Linked DNA regions of Arabidopsis thaliana. The protein of the gene in region 4 interacts with the protein of the main gene of each other region in a pairwise test. Each region holds a gene or a part of one and is shown on either strand. Other genes may lie near its edges. The genes, in order: TH7, UTR3, AT1G63110 and FZL.

Region 1 (3,256 bases), about 21 Mb from region 4:
TCCTAGTGAAGGAATGCCCATCTCTAAAGAAGGTTCAAAGAGAGGAGATCTAAGAATCAACTTTGAGATATGTTTCCCCTCGAGGCTAACATCGGAACAGAAGACAGATCTCAAGAGAGTTCTTGGTGGTAGCTGAATTGGCAACTAGTTTCAAGAAAGCTCTTGAATTCAAAAGGTCAATTCAGTGTACATACATATACAGAATTGATCGGTTTTCGTTTTTGATCTCATATCTTGATCACGAAATAGTAAGCAGAATTGATTGTTTTTTGTTGTAAAAGCTATCTTTGTTGTTATCTAATTTATTCTGCTTTCATAAGTTATATATGTAACTCTCAACTTCATACAAGCTCTTCGAAAATGTTATGTAACGTTTGTTTTTTTCCATTTAGTATTTTAACATATACTTGGAATGGGACTCTTTTTTTTTTTTTTTTATGGTATAGTTCTTTTAGTCGCCATACTCACATTACCATTGTTATGTTGTTTTGCTTACGTTGGGGTGATTAGATTTCATACAAATATAACTACAACATTTTTGTTAATTGTTTTCATTTTTGACATTATTATTTATATTGTTTTGAGAAATTAAACAACAAACCAGAAACCCAACTTCAAACAATCAATTCAGAACAGACATTCAAAAGTATAATAATCATTTTTTTGTAAGGGAAAAGAAAAAACTTAAACCCTATGTTGTTCAATCTTCTTCACGAGCTCATCAGGTTTGGCTCCAACAACCCTATCAATCTCTTCTCCTCTCTTCACAAAAACAAAAGCTGGAAGTGTAATAGCTCTATATGTCCCAGCCACATCCTGGAATACATACCAATTATAGCTTAGTCTTGAAACCATAAGATGATTCTTCTTCAAGTAATAAAAAAAAAGAGTAATTACCATTAGCCTATCCACATCAACCCTAGCAAACACAGCTTCTGAGTACTTTGAAGCAATCTCCCTAACTCTAGGTTCCATTGCTTTACAAGGTCCACACCATACAGCTGTGAAATCAATTACTAGCTTCAAAACCACAATAATTTTTTCAGTTAGTTTAAGAGAAAAAACATGTCATTTACTTGTAAACAAAATTAGAAAACACAAATAGTATAAGATTTAAAACAAACATTATAAGTTTGGTTAAAAAAATTTAATACGTTTTAGGTAGTTTTCGAGTAATGTATACCAATTTGTTTGAGCCTTTCATGGAATCAAAGAGAGATTTCCATTGTCTTCTTGATTCGATTTCCACAACAAATCCATTACTGGTAATTTCCATTGATGAATGAACATCATGCACAGATGAAACATTGGAACCCATTATCTTCGGAATGTGTATGTATGAAGAAATGGTGTTCACTTATTTGCTAGTGATATACTGATATGCAAAGAAGAGAGACAAGGAGGAGCATTATATAGCTTTTAATCGGAGAACTTAATTTGTTGGTTATAAATAAATAAGTAAATGCAAAGGAATATGATTCAATTTGCTATCCTTCTTTAGTTCTAGCCGTTGATTTTTTTATTTTTTCAAGAATATATAGCTTATACCAATTTAGTTTCGCTTTGTGTTTTTAAAATTCCAGTTAGTTGTTAAATATTCTCCACTACATAAAAATATAGCTGGTTGCAAGGAACTAGCTTGCCTATCACATTTGCAAACGAATTTTTTATTTTTGTGGGTGGATAACAATCCGCGGCGGATCGATTTTCTAATTAAAAAATGGTAGCCTAGGTACTTGATTTATTAGTTTAGATTAATTAGTTATTGTCAACGCTATAAATTAAAAGTAGTTAAAATTTGTTTTGTTTAAATAATATATGCACCATCCACTTCAAGGATCTAATACCTATATAATATTAATGCTATTAATTACTATAAAAATAAAAATGTCACATGGCAGGAGAGTTTCTAATGAGAACTCATTTTTATTTTTTTCCTAATTGATGGTGATACTCTTATGTCTTTACTGAAATCTTTAATTTACATTTACATAAAACTTTACAGAACGAAATTAGATTAGAATAAAACGAGAAAAAAATTTGCAAAATGACCATGCATGTCATTGTAAATTTGTAATGTTGTTTGGTGTGTCCGTGTGTAAGAATATTGATTTGTGTTAAAAAGAAGCTGTCATCAAATTCTTCCTCAAGGTCCTTCTTATTCCATTTCAGTACTTATAGGAATCATTGTCGAAAATGAGTTTGAAATTAACAATTTATTCGATACTGGGGGACAAGAAATGCACGTCGTAGCCACGAACATCATCTTTAACTTTTTGCCCATAAACTTTCACATCATCCTCTTATAATTCTCATTCTCAAGGAACTAGGAATGCTGATTCAAAAATACAGTTCGGTGATGCTCGAATATCTTAAATTTTAGAACATATTGTTGGGGTTTAAGATCTCGATTTGCAAATATTAATTTGAAACCATTTTTTGGTCTGATTTCTAATAAAATTGAAACACCACTGTTTTATAAGAACTAAAAAAAACTTGTAGAAATGTTGCATCAAAGTATGCTTTATAAAACATTAAATATATATATGTTGGGATCAAAATATGCATATATATATATTATATATATATATATATGAAGGCGTTATCAAAGAAATACAACAAGTTTTTTAGAAAACTGAAAACATTAAGGAATACTTCTTAAATTTGTAAGTACCCTTCCTAAGACTTTCTTTCCCTTACTTTTACTGTATTTGGAATTTTGGAATTGTGTAGTTTAAGACTTAAAAGAATTCTCAAATATTTATTGTACTGGTAATTCATAAAGTAAACTAATCACGTTTAGATATTTAAACATGTGTAGAAAATCGTTTTTAATTTAGATTTTGCCTTTGAATTTATTCATTTTTTAATCATAATTTATCGATAATATTACACATGACTTTCTTAAAGGTTGCATGAGTTCTGCTACCCACATATTTCTTTATTCCTAGCTCGATCTATAAAGATTCTAATATAAGTTTTTCCACAATCTAAAGAATTTTATTCCATGAAATCGTATCCATACAATTTTATATTGTTGATTTTCTCTCTTTTTAATTTATGTAGGAAGAGTAACACAATTAGTTCAATACCTCTGTATTTACTTTTCTGCTACTAAGCAATATATTACAGTTACTTATAAAATAGTTCTGTATAATAGTTCAATAAAGTTAGTTATATTTTTGCAAACAGAAAGTGTGAAAAAGATACAAGAGCAGAAGAAACGATTCTTAAATACAAGTGCAAGTGCTTTTTC
Region 2 (4,391 bases), 4.2 Mb from region 4:
GTTATTAGTATTCATGATATTAAATTCATACATGAAACAGCTTATGAATACTTTTTGTTAGTCTGAAATTTAGAATTTAAAAAGAATTAAAAGGAAGTTGTGGTTTTTGTTTGGTGTTTTTTTTAACTAATTATGGTCATGGTTGACGTCTGCTAAGGGACAACAAAGTGGTGGGTCTGGATCGCCCATATCGTTGAAATTTTGATCGATATTTTACAATAATACTTACTATCGTTCAGTCACAATTATTAGCGAGATTCCCCTTCAATCAAGATGTTAAGTGTTTACAACTTTTCTTTGGATGTTATATTTATGTTTAAGAAACTTTTACATACACTTCCAAATTATGAGAGATATCAAAACCTTAGAATAAAATTTGGTATTATGGACGATTTTATCTTTCTGAGACGTATTGGATTTACTATTAGATTATTGTGCATATGGCATGCATGCATTAGATATATATAGTCTTTCTTCGATAAATAAAAGTTTAGTCAATGGATGAATCAATCTTTATGTGTAGATCTTTTGTTGATCAACAGGTGATCAAGATTTAAAGGACCCGAAATTAGTTACGAAGTATTGTGGATTTTTCGCATTCTAGTTGACCAAATGAATAATTAAAGTATGAGATTCAACTCTTAAATAATATTTTTGTAAAATTAAGTTTTGAGTTAAGAGACAACGTTAAACCGTCATAATTTATGTGTGTTATATATATAATCGTCAAACCATGGTAAATAACTAAACGCATAGTAGACAAAAAATTTGTAATCATAGATGTAGACGACGGTAATCATCATTTAGATTTGAATTTTTAATGGAACGTGGTGGCTAACGTCGAATACATTTTTGGTGTATTTCTTAAATATAATATCCCATGCATTGACCCAAGAAACTACTTATTAATCAGTTAATCTATATTCACATTGTTATTGACCGGCAGATCGAAAGAGAGTTCTTTTTTCTTTTGCATATTGCATATCACGTGTGGACAAAAGCCCCATTTGGAATCTTTTATGATATTATATTGTTATGTTACACATTAATTTGTTATCTCACCAAGACTTCTATTTTCATTTTGTATCCGGTAAGAGTCACTCTTTTGAGTTTTGACTTTTGACTCTTCAAAATGTATAATTGGTTCTCCCATGAGGATTAAGTATGTCATATAAATTCCGTTTCCCAATATATATAACTTCTATTTTCATTGAGATATAGTATAATATTATTCGTATAGAAAATTACTCAAATCATAATGAACTATGCATGAGTGCATGCATGTGATACCTTGTTTTAATATAATGGAAATTCGATATTTCAAACTTTTCTCGCTATGTTGACGTTATTGTCACATTTACTTTAAGATATATCATATTTTGTTTTAGTAATCTTAACAATGGGTCATCACTAAATTTTAATCAATTAAATCATGTTGGCAACTTTCCTCCATTTGTGTATATACGCCTTTTTCTTTCATTTTCTTACCACAAGTGATCTTAGATTTGTATGAATTCATCAGTTAGTCAAACTGACATGATTAGCTGTGTGCAAGTTTGCTTAATCAAATTAAGGCCCAAGCTGTAAAAAGAACATCCGTTTACAAGTTCTAGGAAACTGCGTGACGTTTTCATGACAATAAAACGGCACATAGTTCCCATTCCTATCTCAGACATGAATGTGCATATGACTTGGATTCCAGAAATAAATCCACGTCCTATAGCCAATCAGAAGTGTCATGTCAGATTATTAAGCCAATGACACAGTTACACGTGGAAAATCTACGTCTTTCTCGCGCCTCCTACACTCTCTCTAATAACTTTCGTTTCCACTTCAGACCGATCTCATAATTTGATCGCAAAACTGATCAAATAGCGTAAAATTGAAATTCAAATTTTCGCCGGAGCTCCGTCGGATAAAACAATAAGCGACGTGCGGCGATGGAATCTCACGGTTCCGGTCTCCGGCGAGTTCTGTTATTGTCGTTCTGTGTCGCTGGGATCTGGGCAGCTTACATATACCAAGGCATTCTTCAAGAGACCTTGTAAGTAAAACTCGTTAGGGTCGAAATCGATCAATCTTATTTTAGCTCGTTGATTATTTTCTCTCGACATTGCTCGATTCTGTTTGTTCGAGATTGTTTCTATTCTCGGAATCCTGGTTGGTGATGCGTTTGCAATTATTGGAAATTTATAGAAATGTAGCTGATAGAACTCTAACATTTTCGAATTAGGTCGACGAAGAAATTTGGTGAAGATGGGAAGAGATTCGAGCATCTTGCATTTCTGAATTTGGCTCAGAATGTAATCTGCTTGGTTTGGTCTTATATAAGTGAGTAGGGCATCTTCATTGTTTATTCCTTAGAATTATAAGTTTATAACAGACGAATAAATGGAACTGAAGTATTTTTGATTGATTATGAGCAGTGATTAAGCTCTGGTCCAACGGAGGTTCTGGTGGAGCCCCATGGTGGACGTATTGGAGTGCTGGCATTACTAATACCATTGGTCCTGCTATGGGCATTGAAGCTTTAAAGTATATTAGTTACCCAGCTCAGGTAAATTAGGCATTGTTAGTGTAATAAAAACCTCATTTTTCTTGATTATGGTTGATAGTTGAGGTAATAACCTTTCTTGGGAAGTAATATTGATGCAAAACTTGCTTCTTGCAGGTCCTTGCAAAATCTTCCAAAATGATTCCAGGTGAGGTGTCAATTTAGAGCATCAATCCATAATCGCTCTCAACTGCTGCTATGTGTATCTTATATATGTTTTTTCTTTCATGTAGTTATGCTGATGGGCTCCTTAGTTTATGGCATAAGATACACTTTGCCTGAGTATCTTTGCACCTTTCTTGTTGCCGGAGGAGTATCTATGTTTGCCCTTCTTAAGGTAGGCAAATCTGCATTCAGGAACTTTGATCATAATCTTTGTTATACTTTGTCTGTGGAAATGTAGTAAACCGTCTTTGACTTGGTTTACAGACAAGCTCTAAAACCATCAGCAAGCTAGCACATCCCAATGCACCCCTTGGTTACGGGCTTTGCTTCTTAAACCTTGCCTTTGATGGATTCACAAACGCAACCCAGGATTCCATTACCGCAAGGTATGACTCTTGACATTCTGTCAGATACTTAACCCAGTCTGACATCTACAACATGGTCTAGATGTTGGACATTAATCATCGCCATACATGGATACAGGTACCCCAAAACTAACGCATGGGACATAATGCTGGGAATGAATTTATGGGGAACCATATACAACATGGTCTACATGTTTGGATTGCCACATGGGAGCGGATTTGAAGCTGTGCAGTTCTGCAAGCAACACCCTGAGGCAGCATGGGACATTCTTATGTACTGTTTATGCGGTGCAGTAGGCCAAAACTTCATCTTCTTGACAATAAGCAGATTCGGGTCTCTAGCTAACACGACCATAACCACAACCAGGAAGTTTGTAAGCATCGTGGTATCTTCAGTTTTGAGCGGGAATCCGTTATCTTCCAAACAATGGGGATGTGTGTCGATGGTGTTCGGTGGATTGTCTTACCAAATTTACCTGAAATGGAGGAAGCTGCAGAGAATGCAGAAGAAGAAAAAGGCCTGAAGCTGAGATTGGGGATCAAAATATTTAATTCTTCAAGAAAATTGTTTTTGATTTGGAAACTTTTTACTTCCAAATATGTCTGAAAGTTAGAGAGAAGAAAGCTTAGTCCATTAGCAAAATGTAAACTAATGCATTAGAAGAAACTTATATATATCAAACCAAAAGACAAATCATATATTTCCACTCATATATATTTGTCTTAACAATACAACAAACTCTTCCTTCTGAGTTTTTCATTTTTCCTAAAGTTACACTCTGGAAAACTTCTTTATATATATGTGATAGAGATTCTGTACAGAGATGATGAAAACAAATCAAGAAATCTGGGGAAAATGCTCAGATGATGTATCTGAGTAAAGCCCTTAGAGACAAACCAAAGAATTTTTTCTTAAAGACACACTGGTGCCTTCTTTTGTAGATGGCTTCCTTATGTTAAGTAAGAAAAGAAAGAGAAATCTGAATCTGAGTATATGGCAGATTCTTGAGAACATTCTTTGATGGGGCTAGAAAATGTTACCGTTAACATTCTAGGACCAGGAAAGAAACTTAAAAACCTTGAGGGAGGAATGCAGATCATGGCATGCCCGCTTCACAAAAACTTCCAGGCCGATATGGCTGCAAAACCTAATATGAAATCTAAGCAAAAGTGGAAAAAATTACGTCTCCATGGAGACTAAACCGCGGTTTAGGGTATGAGAGAGATGGTTGGTTGGTTTACAAGCTATGGAGAAGGACTCTTTTGCAAGGGGGTGGTTTTGAAGGATTAGCACTTGGACATGGAGA
Region 3 (5,879 bases), about 23 Mb from region 4:
TGTGTAAAATTGCATTCACAAGAAATTAGAGTTTCTGGCCTTCCTAGAGTTTCTTGAATTGCGTTAACAAAAAATTAGAGGTTCCGGCATTGCTTCCACACTAGGTTAAGGTTCAACAAAATTCGCAACCAAAGAATAGCTATGAAACAAATAAGCAAGATTTCACAAACATAAAGAGCTTACAAAATTTCAAAACTAATGGGCTTTACTAGCAAATATAATGGGCTTTTTAATAAACCTTTTTTTAATAAGCCTATTAATAAAGATGGGCAAAATGTGTTTCTTTTTGTATCAAAATGTTGTCTAATTTTACTGATAAATAAGAATAAGAAATAGGGTAAATATTTGGAAACTATTTAGAAATACATTTTAATCTAATGGTAATGATTAATTCAAGATGTATATAATTTCTAGTATCTTTTCCCTAATAATTGATATTTTTCATTCATTAACACTAGGACCTTTTAGGTTTAACATCTTAAAACTCTATCTTAAGATGTTTAGATAAGTATTTGGGTTGTAATGATTTTCTAGGAAACACTAAAATAGTATGAACATAATCTAGTTAATCACTAGACTAAAAATCAAATCTGAATCTATGTACAAAATCTAAACTATACACATAAAAGTAGATATTAACATATATATTAATGAATAATATATAATTATATATAGATACACTTAGCACAAATATACACATATATTTATTTTGGATTGTTATCATGTGCTCTGTAAGAAATCATGCTACAATATACAGATGATATAACAGGATAAGAGCTATATTAATAGAGAACTTTGCATAAAAGTCGTTATCCAAAAAAAGAAAATAAACTTTGCATGAAAGCTAAACCAAATGCAAATAAGAAAATAATTGTATCTTAAAAGGATTGTTCTTAAACGATATAAAGGTACATAATTCCCTCCCACGTTAACCATTCATTGTGCATTGTGGAATTCCATTTGTATAATTAGTTTTGAATTAGATCATTCATTTCCTTTGAGTTTGATGAATAAAAAGTAAGAAAAAAACACTAAGCTTGGGAGGGTGGCTTAATTAAGCGTGTACACATAAACTATACTTTGTTAAAAAAAAATTGGGAGGTTGATTATGACTTATGAGCGAATAAAGCACTTTTGCGATAGTTATTGAACTTGCTAATCAAGTTGTTAAACGTGTGTATATATATAGGATGTGCATCATCACAATTCTCTCTAGCTAGCTCTTATTCGTATTATATAAAAAACTCAATAACTCTTTTTTGTTTTTGGTTCTTAAGATGCAATCTATTTATACAGAGATAAACACCAAAGCCAAGAAAGCAAGGACGAATGTAGACTATTTCTATACAGCTTACATGAAAGCCACTAACACAGATTTGGGAGACGAAGCGTTTAAAGCCGTGACAAACCCGATCCTTTCACAAATGGAGGAAATCATCAACACAGCTAAACATGTTGCATATCGCGTGGGAGTTATACGAAGTACAAATTCAGATCCTAATTTTCTTCGAGATCTTGACGAGGTAGACAAGATGGGGGATGATGTCTTTGAGAAATCAAAAACTGCCCTAGACATAATGCGAAAAGCGGTTGTTGATGCAAAGGAAAGGAAGAAAGCTAGAGATGAAGCAATAAAGGAAGAAGAAGAAGCAAGGAAAGAGGAAGTAAAGAAGAAAGCAAAGAACGAAGCAGGAGAGAGCAGTTCACACAACGTACCAACGTAATTAAGTAAACATAAAAAGTTAATAAGCACATAAGTATTTAACGAAGCATAATATATGTATTTAGTGTTCTCTTCAAAATTACAACAAGATAAAAAAGTAAATATATGATTATTCTTCATATGATATTTTACATTGGAAAAATGTTTATCACACAAACACGAAACCGAAATGCATCAAACAAAAACCGAACCGAACCGATATAGAGTTACATTAATCAAACCGAATTATAAATGGATCATAAACCGAAAAAATCAAACCGGAACCAAACCTTAACAAGATCATATCAAATACGTCGTCGTTTCATCTGAGTCGTCTCTCTTCACTCGCCGGAGAGAGAGAAGAAGAAAAGACGACGGAGAAATGGCGGAGGAGCAGAAAATGAAGCAGCTAAGCCGATTCTGGATTTGGGCTTTATCTTCCATTGCTTTCCGATTGATCTTGATCTCCTTCCCGGGAAATCTCAATCTCTCTTCCCGTCCGGAGGTCTCTACCCCTCTCACCAGCATTCGCCGCCGTATCTCCTCTCTCTTTCTCACTCCCTCATTAGCTCTCTAAGATCTCGAATTCAGCTCACATTTCTTCGTTTTGTATGAACATTTTCAGTTGCTGAAGGTTATTGGTTGAAGCAGGCATCGATGTCACCATATGCAGGTCTATCTTAAGATTTGATCCTCTGTAAATTTGGATTCTTAGGCTATTAGAAGCTGAAGTTGTACATATTTGAGCAGGATCTATGTATCATGGCTCACCATTGCTGCTCTCGGTTCTTGGACCTCTCACAGTTCAAAGGTAGTGACTAATCGATTTTGATATTAGGATTTGTGATTTATTGAGCTTGAATCATATGAAAACATGATTTTTTCCCACTTGAGTTTTATTGGAAGACAATTTGTGTGTTTGCAGGATTAAAGGGCAACCAAGTCACCTCTTGTGCAGGTACTTTTCAGTGTCCCTTCATTTCTGTGATCACATGTTTTTTCTTTCTTCTCAGATTTGAGCTAGCTTAAAATCTTAGGTAGGATTAGATTGTGAGATGTGAATTTGGAAAAGAGATGATCTTTGAATGATTTACTATTCATCAAGAGCTTTATAGTCATGTCGTTGCTACCAACATTCTCTTGGATACAGCTTGGTTTTTGTTATTGCAGATATATTAAGTGCAATGCTTCTTCGAGCTATTGGTCAGAAACTCCAGATGGCTTATGGACTGAATGCGAGACTACTTGGTTTTCTTAAGTCATCAAGGGATAAAGGTAGATTGAAGTCAGTTGTTGAATTTTGTGTATCATCTATCTTATTTCTACTCTTTTCTTGTAACTATTTACTTGAAGGCAAATATTGATCTCTCCTTTTTCGTTGTCTCCTCAGTGATCCTACCTTGTGGTGATATTGCTGCTCTTGTGTATTTGTGGAATCCTTTCACGATAGTTTCTTGTGTGGGCTTATCAACTTCTCCCATCGAAAACCTGGCTGTCATATTGGCGCTTTTTGGAGCAGTTACACGTAAGAAGATGATGATACTTGCATATTGTTTGTTCAATAGTTTCTTGAAATTTTATAACTGATGTTTTCTACCCATGCAGGACGAGTTCCTCTGGCAGCATTTGGCTTAGTCATTGCCACACATTTATCTCTTTATCCTGCTACTCTGACAATTCCAGTATGTATCATTTCTTATTTTATGTTTTTCACGTTTCTCAAATTAAACAAATTCTAACTGCTCGTGCATTTCCCACAGATAATCTTTCTATTGGGATATGGTTTGGATGCTCCTCCTATAAAATTGTTCCTTCAGACCAGAAGTGTAGAAAATGAGGAGAGTTCAACCTCTACTGTTTCTAAACAAGCCAAGTTGAAACAGACTACGCACCTTCCTTTCTTATGGAAAACAGTCGCACACTTCTTGTTCTGGGTACTTCTGTGGTCACTCTATGTGTTGATTTTATGTGCCTTATCACTGAATAAATATGGTGGGCTTGAGGAGATGTTCAAGAGGTAGCCTCTAACTTAGAAATCTTATTCATAACCGCTATAGGATTAGTTTCCGTTAGCCATATTATATCTATAACTTATATTCCAAATCATATAATTATTTATTAAGAACTTGCAACGTAGTGTTTAGGCGATTTGATGTTTGTTTGTCTTTGCCTCCTATTGTAGGACGTATGGTTTCATTCTTAGTATTGAAGATCTTTCACCAAACATTGGAGTCTTTTGGTAAGTAAAATAAATTAATATGGTGATATCATTGGGTGATGAATAAGGGATCCCTTCTTTTATGAAAAGACTATTTACTGTTCGTTTTAAATCTCGTTTTCAGGTACTTCTTTGCAGAAGTATTCGACTTCTTCAGAAACTTTTTTCTGATAGTTTTACACGTAAATATTCTGTTCATGTTACTGCCCTTAGCCATAAGGTTGAAACATCGGCCATGTTTCCTGGCTTTCATATACTTAGCGATCTCCTCGATTCTTAAATCTTATCCTTCAGTAAGTAGTTGAATTCACTGTGAACTTGAAGTTATCTTTTCTTCTTTGAGGAATTATATTCATAAATGTTAACAATGCTTTCATCATTTGATTTACTCTCAATAGGTCGGAGATTCGGCGTTATACTTGAGCTTATGGGCATTGTTTGTCAATGAGTTATTAGGTAAAAGCAAATACTTCACATCCTCTTAGCATTGTTTAGCCTTTGCATATAAACTCTGCTTCTGTTTCACATAGATATGAAGTTCTCGTTCTTCCTCTTCTGTGGATATCTCGGGATCTCTCTCCTCAGCCCTGTGATGCACAATCTCTGGATATGGCGGGTAAGCTTCTACTCAAATCCATAACCCAACTCTTCACAGCAGTTGCAACAAAATGTTCTAATGATCACAACTACCTTTGATTTTTTCATGACAGGGAACCGGAAATGCAAATTTCTACTTTGGAAACGCTATCGGCTACGCGTGCTTTCAGGTAAAATATAGGCCTGGATCCATTTCAAAATTCATTATTCTATTCAGTAGTTGGGAGTTGATACTCATATAGTACAAAATTTGATGATATCAAGCAGAGGATGATGAGATCATCAGTTATTGATCAAAGAATGTTGTAGTTTTGGGTTATCTTGACTAAAACCCGCATACGGGTTTCTGCTTTTCTTTACAGATCGTTTTCGTGGTTGAGAGCGTAAGCGCAATGCTAAACCATGACAGGGCGCTGAAGAGATCAAACTCAAACCATCGAGAAGTCAAGAGCTAAGCCATTGAAGGTCATTGCGCCACTTTTCTGTTACACGTAAAGAAAAGAGTTGGGTCTTTAGCTTAAAGTTGGCAACATGTGATTTGTGTGAGTAGCTTTTCTTTGTTTGAGAACATCATATAAATAACAAATCTCCTGTGCCTTTCCGTTTAGAGTAACCATTAATTTGTACTTTTTACCGAGAGGTTTTAAAGTTCTTGTTTTGATCCGCAAAGCACACAATCATCCCTATATTTGAAGTTACATCGCATGTATACAAGGTATTATCATTTGTGAATGGTGGATGATTAAAGGCATTGTCTATGTCCCGTACTTTATCCTTATCCACTGCACCATTAAGGCCTAAATGACACAGTGCAGGAAGGTTATTGGGTGGTGTTTGGTCATTGTTTTCTTAAAAGTCACCCATTCACAATAAATGAAGTGTGATGCATTATTAATTTATTTGTAATATCATAAAAACTTGTAAAACCCACGTGGTACCAAAAACAAAAATCAGACCCTAACCGTATAACTGTATTTCACACTGTTGAAAATATATGTTCAATTCGATCTTGTGACATCTGAAATCTCCTAAAAATTATGCATATATTGCATGAAGCTGATGTATGCATGATTGCATATCTTGGTATTATATATTGTATTGATGGCGTGTGGTGATGGAATTTCATGGCGTTTGGTGATGGAATGCGGTTGTGTATCGGAGCTGACTTCAGCAAAGTTCAAACTTCAAACTGCAGTTTTCCTTCATAGCTCAGTCACAAAATACAGTTTGAAACTACTCCTTTTTCATCTGTTAAGTTAAGACAACTAATGGTTCTTGATTTTGTAATTTTGTTTCTTGGATTTCATCAGATGGGAAGAAACTAGTGGAGGAAATATACTTCGAACTCCTGGATTGCAATTT
Region 4 (7,343 bases):
AAGTTTAAAAAATTATAAATTAAATTTTACAAGAAATTTAAACAATATAAAAGATATTAATACGGGACGATATATTGCGAGAGAAATCTTAGATATAACACTCAAAATTCAATGATGAAGTTTGGGTCAATATTAATCTTTTTTGAAGTTTCTAATTTTATAAATATTTGAAATTTATAATAAAATGACAAATTTGTGTTTAATTTCACGGGACGGGGTTATATGGTGTGACAGGTTTGAGTGGATAATAACATGGGATAGTATGCTATGGAGAAAAACATATAATGACAATCATAATGTAATTATATAATCTTAAACACTAAACAAAATTAACAATATTAAAAAAAAAAAACTTAAAACTTTAATTTTTTTAAAACACATTTTGATTCTTTTATAAGAAATTTAAATATTATAAATATTTAAACTTTATACTACGGGTGAAATTTTAGAATTGACTGTTTGGGTTGATAAGAATTTGCGATAGAACTAGGAGTTAAAATGACAATTAAAATATAATTATACAATTAAATACTACCACGAGCGAAATCCTAGAATTGACGAGTTTGAATCGATATTAATATGGGATGGTGTACTACGGGTGATATTTTAGAATTGACTGGTTTGGGTTGATAATAATTTGCGATAGAATTAGGAGTGAAATCCTAGAATGACAATTAAAATATAATTATACAATTAAATACTACCACGGGTGAAATCCTAGAATTGACGGGCTTGATTCGATATTAATATGGGATGGTGTACTACGGGTGATATTTTAGAATTGACTGGTTTGGGTTGATAATAATTTGCGATAGAATTAGGAGTGAAATCTTAGAATGACAATTAAAATATAATTATACAATTAAATACTACCACGGGTGAAATTTTAGAATTGACGGGTTTGATTCGATATTAATATGGGATGATGTACTACGGGTGAAATCCGAGAAACAACAATCAAAATACAATTATACAATATTAAACATTTAACAAAATAAACAAATACAACTTAAAACTTTAAAATTTGAGTTATAAAATTTCTTCTCGCGGTGAATTATACATTTAAATCAAACAATAGCATTAAATTTATTAAATCATTCTAAAAAATATTCAATTATTTTTTATTTAATAAAAATATAGAACCCTTAGTTGACATAGTTGATAAGTCAAGTGTTTTACTCTTCTAATCTTAAGCACTTACCTTAATGAGACACACATATTAGGATTGGTTGCACAAGGCCGATTCTTATACACTGTATACCCATTACAACGAAGCCCATTATCAACCCTATATAGCAATCTGCAAGACAAAGATCCAAACATATTGAATAACAAGTAACTTTTTTTTTTCTCGGTCCAACTTCATCTGGAATAACAAGCAACTTTTATCTGATGTATATACTTTCAGTGACCATCTACCTTAGTTGGTTTGAAAAGAAAATAGTTGTTTATTCGTTCATGTTCTTAGAAGTTCTAAATTTTGATCATCTCTTATTTGAAAGCTCAACTAAAATAGCTATGATATCATTCCCTGATGCTACGTACTAGGTTTTTAAATTCATACACACACAAATCTATAATTAAAACTTGTTAAATTCATACACACAAAGGACAAATCTTCTTCGTATTAAAAAAGATGGAGGCTCTGGAACATCTAGTGGTGCCGTATCACTTACTTGACTGGTTCAAGCCGTTTGTCTTTGTTTGGAAGAAGTAAATTTAATTGTGGGAGAGGGATTTCACGAATTTAAATCTGTTTTTCTCCCTTTTCGTGGTATACTTTGGACCTTTTGGATATGAACACATATGTGAAAACGTTAATTCATGTGTTTGAAAAGTAATTAATCGCGCCGTCCGTCTTATAGCTTTGGGATGGGCCAATAGGATATTTAAGAGATAAGAAAACTAATCAGAAACACAGACGAAGGTATCTCACTCTCTCTCTTTCTCTCTCCATGAGAACTCTAATCTCTCACCGGCAATGTGTGACGTCACCGTTTCTTATCTCCGCCGCATCTCCACCGTTTCCTGGCCGGTGCTTTAAGTTATCCTCCTTTACTCCTCCACGTCATAGGCGTTTTTCTTCTCTCTCGATCAGAAACATTTCGCATGAATCCGCCGATCAGACTTCTTCTTCTAGGCCGCGAACTCTTTATCCTGGTGGTTACAAGCGTCCCGAACTCGCCGTTCCCGGTTTACTTCTCCGGCTAGACGCCGACGAGGTTATGAGCGGGAATCGTGAAGAGACTCTTGATTTGGTCGACCGTGCTTTAGCTAAATCGGTTCAAATCGTCGTGATTGATGGCGGAGCCACCGCTGGTAAGCTCTACGAGGCGGCTTGTTTGCTGAAATCACTTGTCAAAGGCCGTGCTTACCTCTTGATCGCTGAACGTGTTGATATCGCCTCCGCCGTTGGTGCTAGTGGTGTTGCTCTCTCCGACGAAGGTAACAACTGATTTCATTCAGTTTTAGCATTTAATTTCTCATAGAGTGAGTTTTGTCTCTCAATGCTATGTACAGGTCTTCCGGCGATTGTGGCGAGAAACACATTGATGGGATCCAACCCCGACTCGGTACTTCTTCCACTGGTAGCTCGGATTGTGAAGGATGTTGATTCTGCTCTAATTGCCTCAAGCTCCGAGGGTGCTGATTTCCTTATACTTGGATCTGGTGAAGAAGATACGCAAGTGGCGGATTCTTTGTTGAAGAGCGTGAAAATACCGATATATGTGACTTGCAGAGGCAATGAAGAAGCTAAAGAAGAATTGCAGTTACTGAAATCAGGTGTTTCTGGTTTTGTTATTTCGTTGAAAGATTTGCGTTCTTCTAGGGATGTAGCTCTTCGCCAGAGTCTTGATGGAGCTTATGTTGTAAATAATCATGAGACACAAAATATGAATGAACTGCCGGAGAAAAAGAATTCTGCTGGCTTCATAAAATTAGAGGACAAACAGAAACTAATAGTAGAAATGGAGAAATCTGTGTTGAGAGAGACGATTGAAATCATCCACAAGGCGGCTCCACTGGTGATTTTTATTTCAAACATTTGGTAGTTGAAGTCAATTTTTTGAAATGGTTCTAAGTAGGTTTTTGTGTGGTTATAATATGGTTTCATTTACTTCTTCGACTATTTTTCATTAACAGATGGAGGAAGTCTCCCTTCTAATTGATGCTGTTTCTCGGATCGATGAGCCGTTTCTGATGGTTATAGTGGTAATTCTGCACTCAACTCCGTCAAATTGTGATTCCAGGAATTTGCATTGGTATTAGCTCTATATTCATTCCAGAAACATTTTAGTTACACACTTTTGCCAGCACTAGATAGCTTGAGATACAATGGGCATGCTTCTAGTCACTTGTCCTTTAGTGCTTCTCAATATCTTCTTTCGTCGCCTATGACTATGATGTTTCGCTTCTTCTTTTGTTCTGTCTATGCTTCTCTTCTTAATTTGCTTATGGATCTGGTTGTAAGGGAACTGCATATTTCTTAACTGTACCATCTGCTTGTGTACATAGTTTTTTCGCTTTCTTGTGACTTGTGAGTATGCCGTTCTTGGAAGATGTTTTAAGTGGGACAAGTTGCCTTTATGATTCAAAATAGTTTTTGTATGGATAATTAATTGGAATCCACAATTTGCTGGTACTAGGGGGAATTTAACTCTGGAAAATCAACGGTTATCAATGCACTTCTTGGGAAGAGATACCTGAAAGAAGGGGTAGTCCCCACTACCAATGAAATCACGTTTCTGTGCTACTCTGACTTGGAATCCGAAGAGCAACAACGTTGCCAAACACATCCAGATGGCCAATATGTATGCTATCTTCCTGCACCAATACTTAAGGATGTGAGTAATTCAAAATTCTACCATCGCAGTCCTGAATTTTTACTAATTATTTGGAGGAATTGATTTGGGTTGTTCTCCTTTCGAGCAGATAAATATTGTTGACACACCTGGGACCAATGTGATCCTTCAAAGGCAACAGCGTCTTACAGAAGAATTTGTTCCACGTGCAGATTTGCTTGTTTTTGTTCTTTCTGCTGACCGCCCTTTAACTGAAAGTGAGGTAGAAGTTACCGTTTTACTTGGCATGTTAGTTGTTGTTGTTTTTGCTCAATATGTATCTGCCTAAGTAGCTTGTTAGATCTATTTTTCACGAAAGTAGTTAGTTAAGTCATGTATAGACCATCAAGACCTTGTGTAGGGAAGGGAAAGTTGTCACTAGGTTGAATGCATATATCAAGGTTTTGTTGATTATAAATTTAAACTAGACTAATTTATTTTCAAAGTAATGAGTGTTATAGCTATTGCTGGAACCAGTATGTCCTGTTGGTCCATATTTTGGTAAAGCTTAGGCCAATACATTTGAGAGGTGAGTTGTTATTGGTACAGCAAAACTGATTTTACGTCCATGGCAAATTGTATGTAAATGATCATCTACGAAGTACTAACCTTATGAATATTTGGTTCTTATTTTGAAAATCTGAAAAAGTTTCAAAAGAAGGAATAAGCTTCTCAATGTCATCATACCCATGTCATTTCTATCTCTACCTCTGGAGCTTCCTGCTGTCTTGATTTTACTGTAGGCTGATTTACATCTCATTGCGTTTGTCAGGTTGCGTTTCTCCGGTACACACAGCAGTGGAAAAAGAAATTTGTGTTTATTCTGAATAAATCTGATATCTATCGTGATGCTCGTGAGGTTTATCAGAAACAATATTTATGTCTTTTCCTTGATAGTCTCTGTAATTGCTGGATTTTTCTTGACTAAAGATTAATTTTACTGCTGCAGCTTGAGGAAGCTATTTCATTTGTTAAAGAGAATACACGGAAGTTGCTTAATACAGAAAATGTGATATTGTATCCGGTGTCCGCACGGTCTGCTCTTGAGGCGAAGCTTTCAACAGCTTCTTTGGTTGGCAGAGATGATCTTGAGATCGCAGATCCTGGTTCTAATTGGAGAGTCCAGAGCTTCAATGAACTTGAGAAATTTCTTTATAGCTTCTTGGATAGCTCAACAGCTACCGGGATGGAGAGAATAAGGCTTAAATTGGAGACACCCATGGCGATTGCTGAGCGTCTCCTTTCTTCTGTGGAAGCTCTTGTGAGACAAGATTGCCTAGCTGCTAGGGAAGACTTGGCTTCAGCAGACAAGATTATCAGTCGAACTAAAGAATACGCGCTTAAGATGGAATATGAGAGCATTTCTTGGAGAAGGCAGGCTCTCTCGTTGGTATAAATTCTATTAGATATTATCTTGTTGAATCACGAAGGAGGAAATTGGATTGTTCTAACTTGGCTTTTTTGTGTTTTGTACTCTGGCTTTTATCGCAGATTGATAATGCCAGATTACAAGTTGTTGATCTGATAGGAACTACCCTGCGACTATCAAGCCTTGATCTTGCGATCTCGTACGTGTTCAAAGGGGAAAAATCGGCCTCAGTAGCAGCTACATCCAAAGTTCAAGGTGAAATACTCGCTCCAGCACTCACAAATGCGAAAGTAAGTGTGATGCTTTATTCTTTGAGTATTGGCCTAACTGGGGACATGTTGGTCATATATATGAGGTCTGAGATATAGTCACTATTCATGCAGAAAGTAAATATTGTCTAACAATGTCTTGTTGTGACCTGATTGACTTTACATTTCACTGTTTGCAGGAATTGCTTGGAAAATATGCTGAATGGCTACAATCAAATACTGCCCGTGAAGGGAGTCTGTCTCTGAAATCATTCGAAAACAAATGGCCAACATATGTCAATTCAAAAACGCAATTGGGCATAGACACATATGACTTACTTCAGAAAACTGATAAAGTCAGCTTGAAAACAATACAGAACTTGAGTGCCGGAACCACATCAAAACGATTGGAACAAGATATTCGAGAAGTGGTGAGCTTCAAGTATTAAATACTTTTAGTCTAAGTTCTAACTAGAATTCAGTCGATTAAAGTGTCTTGATCTTCATCATTGTTTAATTGTGTCATCTGTTCAATCCGAACCTATGATCTGACGGAGATGTTAATTCAGTACCGTATTTTCCCAGATACTTCGTCTCGCTATTCAAGAATCAATCTAAGTGACACTTTTGACATAGTTGAGTTTTGCTTGCCTTTTCTAGTTCTTTGTGACAGTTGGTGGGCTTGGAGCTGCAGGACTGTCTGCATCACTTCTAACCTCAGTGCTACCGACCACACTGGAAGATCTTCTTGCTCTTGGCCTTTGCTCCGCTGGAGGGTAATAACACTGCTCTAAATTTCCCCTCTTCCCAATGTCTCATTACTCCACCTTCTTAGATCACGCCTAGTGTATTTTTTTCTTGCAACTAGAGGCATATTTATGACTTTTAAGAAAGACTGGTTGTATGCATAACATAATCTATGTGACAGGTATGTGGCTATAGCAAACTTCCCATATCGAAGACAGGCTATAATTGGTAAGGTGAATAAAGTGGCTGATGCGTTGGCTCAACAGCTCGAAGACGCTATGCAAAAAGATCTTTCAGATGCGACGAGTAATCTAGTTAACTTTGTGAATATTGTTGCCAAGCCTTATCGAGAAGAAGCTCAGCTAAGACTTGATCGTCTTTTAGGAATCCAGAAAGAATTATCAGATATTAGAAGTAAATTACAGTTGCTACAAGTTGATATTGATAACCTTCATGTATCACGAGACGAGATGAGACTTTAGCTATTCCAACACAATGTCGGGTTTTCCCTTCTTGACATTGTTCAGTGGGGGGCAAGTGTATGTACTTTGTCATAATGAATAATACCTGCCAGTTCCGACTTGAAATGGACTCACTGATGGTTTTTTTGAATGCGAATTCAAAAGATTGGGGAGGTTCTTGAAAGAACCAAACAATAGCATTATGGGCGTGAAACTTTGGTATAACGTTTTTTAGCTTCTTTTTCAGATTGTTTGTGATACAAATCGCTGGATGAGTTGGAAGCTCAAGAGACTCATGGAGAAAATTTTCTTCTGATCTTTGACCTGCACATGTACCTCATATCACAGGTAAATATGTTAGTTGACTCATTTTTTCTGTCAATTGGATTTTATGGTCTCCTAGAGTTCATGAATTGCTTGATACATTCATATGAAATTGATTCTCCGCATAGAGCATCTAAACTTAGTTGTCAATGTACTAATCTTTTGACTTTAGTGGCTTAAATATGAGGGAAAAAAACAATCTTAGTATAAGTTTCCATGGAGAGTAATTCTCAGCATATGCTAGCTGTGATTTCTAAAGATAAAACGCTTGAATTTCTTTTTTAGTTAAGGATTGGTTCGAGAAGTTTTAAAAATCCAGAGGTGCTAGAATAAACCTTGTTAATGCTTGATA

Evidence for each region.
Region 1: the proteins of FZL (region 4) and TH7 interact in a protein complementation assay, tested with the Arabidopsis thaliana proteins (one large-scale study listed by BioGRID).
Region 2: the proteins of FZL (region 4) and UTR3 interact in a protein complementation assay, tested with the Arabidopsis thaliana proteins (one large-scale study listed by BioGRID).
Region 3: the proteins of FZL (region 4) and AT1G63110 interact in a protein complementation assay, tested with the Arabidopsis thaliana proteins (one large-scale study listed by BioGRID).

Annotation. Positions count from the first base shown.
Region 1 is NC_003070.9:21,952,075-21,955,330, forward strand, and holds TH7 (thioredoxin H-type 7), read right to left. Parts: upstream 1,407-3,256; 5' UTR 1,319-1,406; coding exon 1,184-1,318; intron 1,021-1,183; coding exon 898-1,020; intron 817-897; coding exon 685-816; 3' UTR 523-684; downstream 1-522. Other genes in the region: AT1G59725 (DNAJ heat shock family protein), read left to right, coding at 1-136. UniProt on the Arabidopsis thaliana protein: Probable thiol-disulfide oxidoreductase that may be involved in the redox regulation of a number of cytosolic enzymes.
Region 2 is NC_003070.9:4,910,579-4,914,969, reverse strand, and holds UTR3 (UDP-galactose transporter 3), read left to right. Parts: upstream 1-1,802; 5' UTR 1,803-1,940; coding exon 1,941-2,044; intron 2,045-2,233; coding exon 2,234-2,331; intron 2,332-2,426; coding exon 2,427-2,557; intron 2,558-2,671; coding exon 2,672-2,702; intron 2,703-2,787; coding exon 2,788-2,891; intron 2,892-2,983; coding exon 2,984-3,105; intron 3,106-3,202; coding exon 3,203-3,608; 3' UTR 3,609-3,877; downstream 3,878-4,391. Other genes in the region: FLP (Duplicated homeodomain-like superfamily protein), read right to left, coding at 4,323-4,391. UniProt on the Arabidopsis thaliana protein: Essential sugar transporter required for the transport of UDP-glucose from the cytoplasm into the Golgi and the endoplasmic reticulum. Essential for pollen development and involved in embryo sac progress.
Region 3 is NC_003070.9:23,402,786-23,408,664, forward strand, and holds AT1G63110 (GPI transamidase subunit PIG-U), read left to right. Parts: upstream 1-1,902; 5' UTR 1,903-2,084; coding exon 2,085-2,238; exon of another isoform or gene 2,239-2,327; coding exon 2,328-2,375; intron 2,376-2,452; coding exon 2,453-2,513; intron 2,514-2,627; coding exon 2,628-2,660; intron 2,661-2,852; coding exon 2,853-2,977; intron 2,978-3,092; coding exon 3,093-3,227; intron 3,228-3,307; coding exon 3,308-3,384; intron 3,385-3,462; coding exon 3,463-3,719; intron 3,720-3,884; coding exon 3,885-3,941; intron 3,942-4,044; coding exon 4,045-4,213; intron 4,214-4,318; coding exon 4,319-4,376; intron 4,377-4,450; coding exon 4,451-4,536; intron 4,537-4,630; coding exon 4,631-4,687; intron 4,688-4,879; coding exon 4,880-4,972; 3' UTR 4,973-5,334; downstream 5,335-5,879. Other genes in the region: AT1G63105 (uncharacterized protein), read left to right, coding at 1,356-1,724.
Region 4 is NC_003070.9:759,366-766,708, forward strand, and holds FZL (FZO-like protein), read left to right. Parts: upstream 1-1,895; 5' UTR 1,896-1,955; coding exon 1,956-2,445; intron 2,446-2,520; coding exon 2,521-3,026; intron 3,027-3,144; coding exon 3,145-3,213; intron 3,214-3,647; coding exon 3,648-3,845; intron 3,846-3,933; coding exon 3,934-4,065; intron 4,066-4,614; coding exon 4,615-4,701; intron 4,702-4,791; coding exon 4,792-5,232; intron 5,233-5,333; coding exon 5,334-5,501; coding exon of another isoform or gene 5,502-5,566; intron 5,567-5,659; coding exon 5,660-5,890; intron 5,891-6,119; coding exon 6,120-6,235; intron 6,236-6,387; coding exon 6,388-6,688; 3' UTR 6,689-6,829; downstream 6,830-7,343. Other genes in the region: AT1G03165 (uncharacterized protein), read left to right, coding at 6,998-7,015. UniProt on the Arabidopsis thaliana protein: Probable membrane-remodeling GTPase that plays a unique role in the in the determination of thylakoid and chloroplast morphology and regulates organization of the thylakoid network.